Arabidopsis thaliana: one gene and its partner. Each later gene encodes a partner of the first gene's protein in a complex. Each region holds a gene or a part of one and is shown in the gene's direction. Other genes may lie near its edges.

Region 1 (4,214 bases):
CTCACTCATGTTAGTGATTCATGTGTGTGTCAGTGTGTGTGTGTGTGTTTTTATCAAGGTCTTCTCTTAAGATTCATAAGTGTGAATCTGGTGGGACTTAATTGGTCTGGTGGAGTAGAACCTATGCGGGCAATGAGGAAGGTTAAGGTAGGCTAACCGAGCCCACTCTCTAAGTGTTTAATTTGTAACCTTAATTCGTAAATAAAAGCTGTTTAATTTGTAACCTTTATTAGATAAAATTTTGTCTTTTTTTTTGTCAAAAGATAAAATGTTGTCAATCATTTTAAAAACAAAGAAAAAAACTTTTTTGGCAAGAATTTATATATTTGCTTGTCATAAATTTTCCATTTTGTAGTATTTTGAAAAAAATATTTTAACGAATGGAAGCAATAACTCGACAAAAAGAGTCAAACTAAAGTACCTTCACATGCAAAACAAAACGTAAATTTGGTATTTTTTTCCCATTAAAAAAAATATATATATATTCTTGGCCTTGTGTGCGAAGACGATCGAGAACGAGAAGAACGATAAGCTCAATACGCACGAACGTAGATCGAAGACTGGAAAGGTATATCTTCATCAAAATATTCATGATTATGGTTGAGTTTAATTTTGTTTACGTATTTGTTTTAATTTTTCAAAAGTCCACTGTTGGCTGGCTGTTGCTATCTTGGAATGATTTTCATATCTCAATAACTATTGTTTACTCTAAGTTAAATTATTGGGGTGCTATTTATGATGACTGATGAAGTGATGGGAACATGATTGCAATATTAAAATCTCTTTTTTATTTATATTAATTATAAGTTTGTACCCACTTCATTTTAAATAGATAATGCCAAGACGTAGGTATATTATTACTGAATTTATTTTTTAATAATAAGTAAATATGCAGGTTTCAACTAGAAAGGTAACACATCAACAAGAAATACCAAAAACCACTAGCTTACATATTTTGATCATATAAGTATTGAATAATATAGTTATAGATGATCAAATAGTTATTATTAATTACTTAGCTAGTGTAATTTCTATCGATTGTTTCACATTCGCAACAGATAATTATATAAATAAATACATACTACATGTTAACCTTTGTTTTTGTTAAATAGGATGTTTTCTTGATTGATGATCTAGATCAACTTTTAATAATTTATACGTACCAGCTTTCATTCGATCGTGCGACTTCTTGGAATATCCCATGGTACATTTGCAGTCGAGCTAGAAAGCTTTTTTGATAATTTATGAATCATATTAAGCGTCTCTCAATTAGATTAATATTTAGTACCAGTGTAAATGATACAATTATAAATCTTTTTACCAACGAATACAGAATTTGTTTTAGAAATATTCTTCGCAAAATTTTATAATATTTCATAAATCAGTTATAAAAAAAAAAAAAGCAGTTTTGAATTCAGAGGAATTCGTAAATTTCCCTAAGAGTTATTAAAACTAGTTGTGATATTTTGGAGTATTCTTTATGGCTAGATCCATATGATCCGGTTCTTGTATCTAGATTTTTTTTACGGAATATTGTATGATATATCTAGTCTCCTCTTTGGTTCTAAACTTCTAATTAATCTTCGGTGATTTGAATTAAACGTTACTGTTTTTAAATTATGATTAAGGCTTTAAAACATGTTCATACAATAATTACCAAATCTTAACCAATTAGACTCTTAATAAGGAGAACGTATATATATGTTGCAACTTGCAACTTTAGCCCTTTACAAATAATTAATCGTACATAATCTAATTGATAAACGATTCTTTAAATTTTAAAACAATGAATTAGCTTGCTGCCATCGTTTAATGGGCCAACGCCAATATAAAGACGATTAGTTGAGAAGTTGTGCAAGTAGAAGTATATGAATATTTTCATTATCTAAAAAAAAAAATGTATATGAACATGCGTTTTTCCCAGTAATGCTTTTTATATAAATATGCCTCGTGGATCACGAAAGAATAAATTATTATTTCCCTTATTATTTCATCTAGTACGATCAATATCAAGAAGTCAATATAAATAAACATACAATTCACTTTAATTGATCATAGCACCGATAACAATCTACTCTCTTTAAAAGGTCTTATCTCTATTCTTCTCTATTATGTAAAAATTGGTTAATAGTAGATATTAACAATTTATTTTTGCAACTACAGAAATTCGTAAGTACTATCAAGAAGCAGAAGATGGCCCAAAAGGTGGAAGCACAAGGAGGGAAAGGAGCCAACCTATGGGACGATGGATCGACACATGACGCCGTGACCAAGATTCAGCTCGCAGCAGGCATAGACGGAATTCAATATGTTCAGTTTGATTATGTCAAGAACGGACAACCCGAACAAGCTCCTCTTCGTGGTACCAAAGGCCGTGTTCTCCCAGCTGATCCGGTTCCTATATTTTCCTTGCCCATTAATCTTCTTCTTTCTATATGTATACTGTTATATTTTGAAGTTTTGACATTTTCATCTTGATCTATTTCTACAGTTTGTGATTAACCATCCAGACGAACATCTAGTTTCTGTAGAAGGTTGGTATAGCCCTGAAGGTATCATTCAAGGAATTAAGTTCATCTCCAACAAGAAGACTTCTGATGTCATTGGATCCGATGAGGGTACTCACTTCACTCTACAAGTTAAAGACAAGAAGATCATTGGCTTTCATGGGTCTGCCGGGGGCAATCTTAATTCTCTTGGGGCTTACTTTGCTCCGTTGACTACTACAACTCCGTTGACTCCTGCCAAGCAGCTAACGGCATTTGGTAGTGATGACGGAACTGTATGGGATGATGGTGCTTACGTTGGGGTTAAGAAGGTGTACGTTGGACAAGCCCAAGATGGAATCTCAGCTGTTAAGTTTGTGTACGACAAAAGCCCTGAGGAGGTCACAGGAGAAGAACATGGAAAGAGTACTCTACTCGGATTCGAAGAGGTATAATACTTTCTTTGCTCTTTTTGTTGAATGTAAAAATTATACATCAGAGAATTCAAATTCTCTTCCGGTTTCCATCATAATGTATTCAATTGTTTTATTTGGTTTCCAATAACTGCAGTTCGTACTTGACTATCCAAGTGAATACATCACCGCAGTCGATGGCACTTATGATAAAATCTTTGGGAGTGATGGCTCAGTCATAACTATGCTCAGGTTCAAGACTAATAAGCAAACGTCTCCTCCCTTTGGACTTGAAGCTGGCACAGTCTTCGAACTCAAAGAGGAAGGCCACAAGATCGTTGGTTTCCATGGAAGAGCCGATGTTCTGCTCCACAAAATTGGAGTCCATGTTCGTCCTTTATCCAACTGATGATGGAGCTCTTTATCCTTGATTCCATGCATCTAATAAGTTATCAAATCTATCTTCTAAATTTCTCATATGAGGTCTCTTCATGCCTCTGGTGAATGGTGATCTTTGATAAGTGTTTTACGCGTTGTCTCTTGCGATGTTGTTTTTTCTTTGTTCTTCTTGTGCTCTATTTTAATAAAGGAAGTTTGTTCCAATCTGATCTTTAGTTTCCCTATATGTTCTATAATACTTACTTTTGCCATTATTTGGTTCTGATACTAATTTTACTTGCTATAATTCAAACTAAAATCTCAACGTATGAATTGTACAATTTAAAATGCAAATGTTAACTTTTTTGGATCAAATATATAGTTGTTCGTATTTTCTCAGTAAAAAAATCCTGCACAAAGTTTTTATCTAGAATGTGTGACCATATTGAAGTTTTTGGCCTTCTCCAAACATAAAAAGTTATTAGTTAAAAGTATATGAGTTGGCCAAAAAATACGAACCGGTTCTTGTTTCTAGATTGAGCGTTACAGAAAATTGTATTATATATATACTCTTGGTTCTAATTTCTCTTAGGTGATTTCAATTATACTTTTACTGTTTGAAATAATGTACAATGCTGTGGAAACATGTTCTTACAAGACTTATCAAATCGTCAACCAATTAGAGTCCTAAAAAGGGGGTCACTAATTGTAGAATTCTGACTTATATAAATTGCAACTTGCACCCTTTACAAGTAATAACGTATATAATAAAATTGACGACTCTGTGAATTTTAAAAGAACTAATTAGCTTGCTGCCATCGTTTCATTGGCCAACACCAATATAAAGACGATTAGTTGAGAAGCTGTGGAAGTAAAAAAGGAGTATATGAATATTTGAACATGTATTTCTTCCGGTAATGTTTTAAATATGCCTCGT
Region 2 (4,919 bases), on another chromosome or scaffold:
TATCCAACCTATGAATGTTCGTGAGCTCATTGTGTATCCTGTTAATGAGCCTATGCGTGAGTTTTGGGAGGATCCAATGGATGAGAATATCATCGTTAGTCCATGACGTCGACGTCGATGCTAGTGAATCTATCTAACTCGTTTAGTTCTTGAGCTCACTATTTTCCATCTCTATACCATGAACGAGCTCTTGGAATTTGAAATGCGCTGTTATTAATTTGTTGAGATTTAAAATAATAATGTAACCTCAACTCTGTTTTTTCCATAAGAAAAATCTCAATGAGTAACGTGATAAACCTGACAATATGAACCAAAGCGTGTCCAATGACCTGCTTTGTGCTCAGATTAGACAAGTTTCGGGCCACATGCACTCCATTAGAACAAAATGATAAATTTTGGTGGAATCAATTTAAGAAGGTAGTGGATTCAATTTGAGACCTTTTTTACCCTCTTTTTTTGTTTGCAATTATTCTTGCAAGGTAATATTCGAAATGATTGGCAACAAAGAAAATAAAAAGTAGAAATTATAAAGTTCCAGAAAAGATAAGTTTATACATCTGGCTTTGGGGCCGGCTATATTTACAGTTAATTTTCATATGAAATAAAACCAAAAATCATATATATAGATAATAGATGAACCAAACAAATGAGGCGTTCTTCATATAAAACTTCATCTTCACGTAAGCAAATGTGTTTTATTTTTATCTAGTTTCTGCACTCTTTTAGAAACAAAATTGTTCACCTTTCTGTCGTTCTAATGATTCCAATCAAATTGATAATTACTAGAACTTACAAACGAATAAGGACCAACTCTTCTGTATTTGATATAGACACTCTCTCAAAACTTAATCTTCTCTAATCTTCACTGTAAATCTTAAGGAACAACTCTCCACAAGTTTTTATAATTTATATATACATAACTAAGCTATTACCTATACTATTAAGATTGTGTCAACGCAAAATTGAGTTATTCTTTCTTATTTAAATTTGAACTATTAAAAATATGTAAATAATTAACGAAAATCTTTGTCAAAACACTATTAAGAAAATAATTTCAAAAATTAACATGATGATAAAATATAGATTGTTAATTGTTTTTTTTAATTGTTTTCAAGTAATTTAATCAATAATATGATGAGGATGATTAAGGAAATTACTATAATTTATCTTTTAAAGAATATCTTAGCATAGGTATGAGTTGTTTTTGCAAAATTTTAATAATTGATTTAAGTTATCTAAACGTTATTAAAATTATTATCCAAATTATCTATAATTATCCGAACATATTCGTCTCTTGTCTATTCTGGTAGTGATATTTTATGTATCTATATTATTCATATATCGTATCAGTATAATCTGACTTATTTAAAAATATCTATTTGATATGTATTTTGATATTAAAAATATTTTAATTCGAGTTGTGTACTCGTAAATTATCCAAAAGTTTTAGCAGAAATAAACATATCTACGTATATGTTGGTGTTGAAATTTTTTTGTTGAATTTGGCTAGTCAGCAAAATTTAGTTTTATGCAAATGGTTACTGCAGAAATTACTGAATCTGGTTTAGTGTTACCATTTACACCCTATATTTCCGTGAAATTTGTATGTTTAATTCTACTTCTTGCCTCTAAATGCACGATCTTTTCAGCACTTCGAAGAGGTTAAAGTGACTTTTACCCGATGAGAAGGGAATTGTGTGGCAGATAGAATTGCTAGGGAATCTCTTTCTTTTCTGAATTATGATCCCAAATTGTATTCTATATTGCCGGATTGGGTTAAAGCTTATGTGTATTCAGACTCTTGTGTAATTGTAAGTTGTTGTTGAACCAAAAAAAAAAAAGCACGATCTTTCTTGGTACTCGTAGTAACAATAGATATTTTGTTGAGAATTAAAAATAAAGTAGAAGAGAAACCAGTAATGCGTCAGACGTGATTAAGCGAACTATATAATATAATTGATCGATAATCGTTTGCTAGTGCGTTAAATAGGTGTATAGTAAAATGAACCTCGCGCTACACGTTATTATTTGTATAGTAAAATGAACTATTATTTTCATTGCCAAATTGTAGTACTTGCAATATAAATATAACGAATCGGTCTACGAGCTAAGGCACAAAAGCAATCTTCTTCTCTTTTCACAGTTCTGTTTCTCCCTCTCTCTAAATGATGGCAAACAACTGTAATTTAGTCAGTGTTCTATGTGTAATTTTGGTATTGACCCTCTTTCACAACCCCATCACTGTCGCCGGACAGAATAGTCCGGTGGTCGCCTTGTTCACCTTTGGTGACTCCAACTTCGACGCCGGAAACAAACAGACTCTCACCAAAACCTTAGTCGCTCAAGGTTTCTGGCCGTACGGAAAATCTCGAGATGATCCCAACGGCAAATTCTCCGACGGCCTCATCACTCCGGACTTCCTCGGTACGACTTCTTTTCTAATCGAATCCTACTCTAATCTTTAAAACATTAAGTATGTTAAAAATAGTATGATTACGTAAAAATAATCATAAACAGTAGTATTTATAAATGCATTTTAAGTATGCTACTAGTGAATTACTTAAAAAATAGTAAATAGTATGATTAAAAAAAAGATTATAAATGCATTGGTTCAGCGGCTATTCACTTTTCGGGACACATTCTATGAAATTTTATTTATTATTTTCGTCAACAGATTCGGAGATGTAGTACAAGGAATGATTTGATATTATATGAAAAACTAAAATATTTTTAAAATACAAAATGCAGCTAAATTCATGAAGATTCCGCTCGCGATCGCGCCGGCGCTTCAACCGAACGTCAATGTCTCACGTGGAGCTAGTTTCGCCGTCGAAGGTGCTACTCTACTCGGAGCTCCGGTGGAATCTGTAAGTAAACTTAATTTCTTATTATATAAGAGTCATGTATATATCTATAGTCAACACCTAATTCAAAGAAAATCAATTATATCTGTCTATTATTGACCCGGTCATACTAAGCGGGATTCTTTTTGTTTTACTTCACAGAAAAGCATGTGACTTAATATCAATAAGCTTTACTTTAATTGCACTTATAATATTGGTTTAATTTTTGTCTTTTTCTCTTTTTTGGTTCTTTAGATGACTCTGAATCAACAAGTGAAAAAATTCAATCAAATGAAAGCAGCAAATTGGAACGATGATTTCGTGGCAAAGTCAGTATTTATGATATACATTGGTGCAAACGATTACTTAAATTTCACCAAGAACAACCCTACCGCTGATGCATCTGCTCAACAAGCTTTTGTTACTTCCGTGACCAACAAGTTAAAGAACGATATTAGCGCGTTGTATTCATCAGGAGCGAGTAAATTCGTGATCCAAACCTTAGCTCCATTGGGTTGCTTACCCATCGTCAGACAAGAATACAACACCGGGATGGATCAATGCTATGAGAAACTCAACGATTTGGCTAAACAACACAACGAAAAAATTGGACCGATGTTGAACGAAATGGCTAGAAACTCTCCTGCATCAGCTCCTTTCCAATTCACCGTCTTTGATTTCTACAATGCCGTTCTTACTAGGACGCAGAGGAACCAAAACTTCCGTGAGTTGGTTAATTATCATGGTTTAATTTCATTTGTTTTAGTTTTATAACTTCTAATACCAAGTCATTAATATTTGTCATTCTTAGGGTTTTTCGTCACGAACGCATCGTGCTGCGGAGTTGGATCTCACGATGCTTATGGTTGCGGTTTACCTAACGTGCATTCGAAGCTATGTGAGTACCAACGGTCTTTCCTATTCTTCGACGGACGTCACAACTCCGAGAAGGCGCAAGAAATGTTTGCCCATCTTCTTTTTGGAGCCGATACAAATGTTGTCCAACCGATGAACGTCCGTGAGCTTACTGTTTACCCAGTCGATGAACCCATGCGTGAATTTTGGGTGCCTCCAACGCCAGCTACTGTCCACGCCAGCGACTCTAGCTCGTCCACTAGCCGCGGTTACGAGTATTACTGAGTCTTTTTAAAACTCAATCTTTAGGGTCAATCAGGTTTTCTACAATGGTCATGAGTTAATTTATAACCGAATCAAAATCGGAATCTTGATGTTTTTGATTTGCAATGTTTTCCTGTTTCTCTAGTGAGTTTTTCTCTATAATAAAAGATTGATCTTATCAACTCTTTCCACGTCCTGGAATTTATCGAGAGTTCATTAGTCTATCGATTTACTCTAATCTATTCGATATCTTATATTCCTTCTGTTCATTTTTGTTTGATTTTTTAGAAAAAACATAAATATTAAGAAAATATATTAAATGTTGCTTTTAAATGTATTGTTTTTTGTGATTTACAATTTTCAATAACTCTAAACCAATGATATTTACTAATTTGTATTGAAGTTTACAATTTATCAATTATAACTAATAACTATTGTATTAAAAATCTAAAAAATCAATATTTTTGAAATAATTTTTTTTCTAAACAATTAAACAAAAAGAAACAGAGTAAGTATAAATTATGTAAAAATATATGACTGATTCGTTTTATGACACCGAATTAAAATAATAAGCTAATTCCTTTTGGTTTCTTTTGACCCAACAATAAGCTAATTATAATTATAAAACGAATATGATAAAGTATCTTTTACCAGCTGGGAAAATATAATACTCCCAAACTGAAAATAAATATCATTACCAGTTGGGATTATTTTATTACAGTAAATACATATAGTGGGCATTAGTGATCTGATTTTGTGGATCATAAGCGACAGGAAAATAAAAATATAATAAGACCAAACAAATCTCATCCGCTAAATCTGGTCATAAGTTTAAGTATTTTTTTTCTATTTAAATAAGAAAAAAATGACGCTAAATCTGGACATAAGTTAAAACATACAAATTGAAATAGTATAATTTAAAAATCTCAATAATTGAAGCAACACACCGATCTTGAC

Evidence for each region. Proteins that work in one complex are often made in the same cells at the same time.
Region 2: PBP1 (region 1) and GLL22 share a complex: the UniProt entries of both Arabidopsis thaliana proteins name them as parts of the PYK10 complex.

What each region holds. Positions count from the first base shown.
Region 1 is NC_003074.8:5,577,367-5,581,580, forward strand, and holds PBP1 (PYK10-binding protein 1), read left to right. Parts: upstream 1-1,923; 5' UTR 1,924-2,087; intron 2,088-2,108; exon of another isoform or gene 2,109-2,163; 5' UTR 2,164-2,193; coding exon 2,194-2,394; intron 2,395-2,491; coding exon 2,492-2,935; intron 2,936-3,056; coding exon 3,057-3,308; 3' UTR 3,309-3,666; downstream 3,667-4,214. UniProt on the Arabidopsis thaliana protein: Inhibitor-type lectin that may regulate the correct polymerization of BGLU23/PYK10 upon tissue damage. Activates BGLU21, BGLU22 and BGLU23.
Region 2 is NC_003070.9:20,153,612-20,158,530, reverse strand, and holds GLL22 (GDSL-like Lipase/Acylhydrolase superfamily protein), read left to right. Parts: upstream 1-2,010; 5' UTR 2,011-2,165; coding exon 2,166-2,424; intron 2,425-2,748; coding exon 2,749-2,867; intron 2,868-3,098; coding exon 3,099-3,567; intron 3,568-3,654; coding exon 3,655-3,983; 3' UTR 3,984-4,377; downstream 4,378-4,919.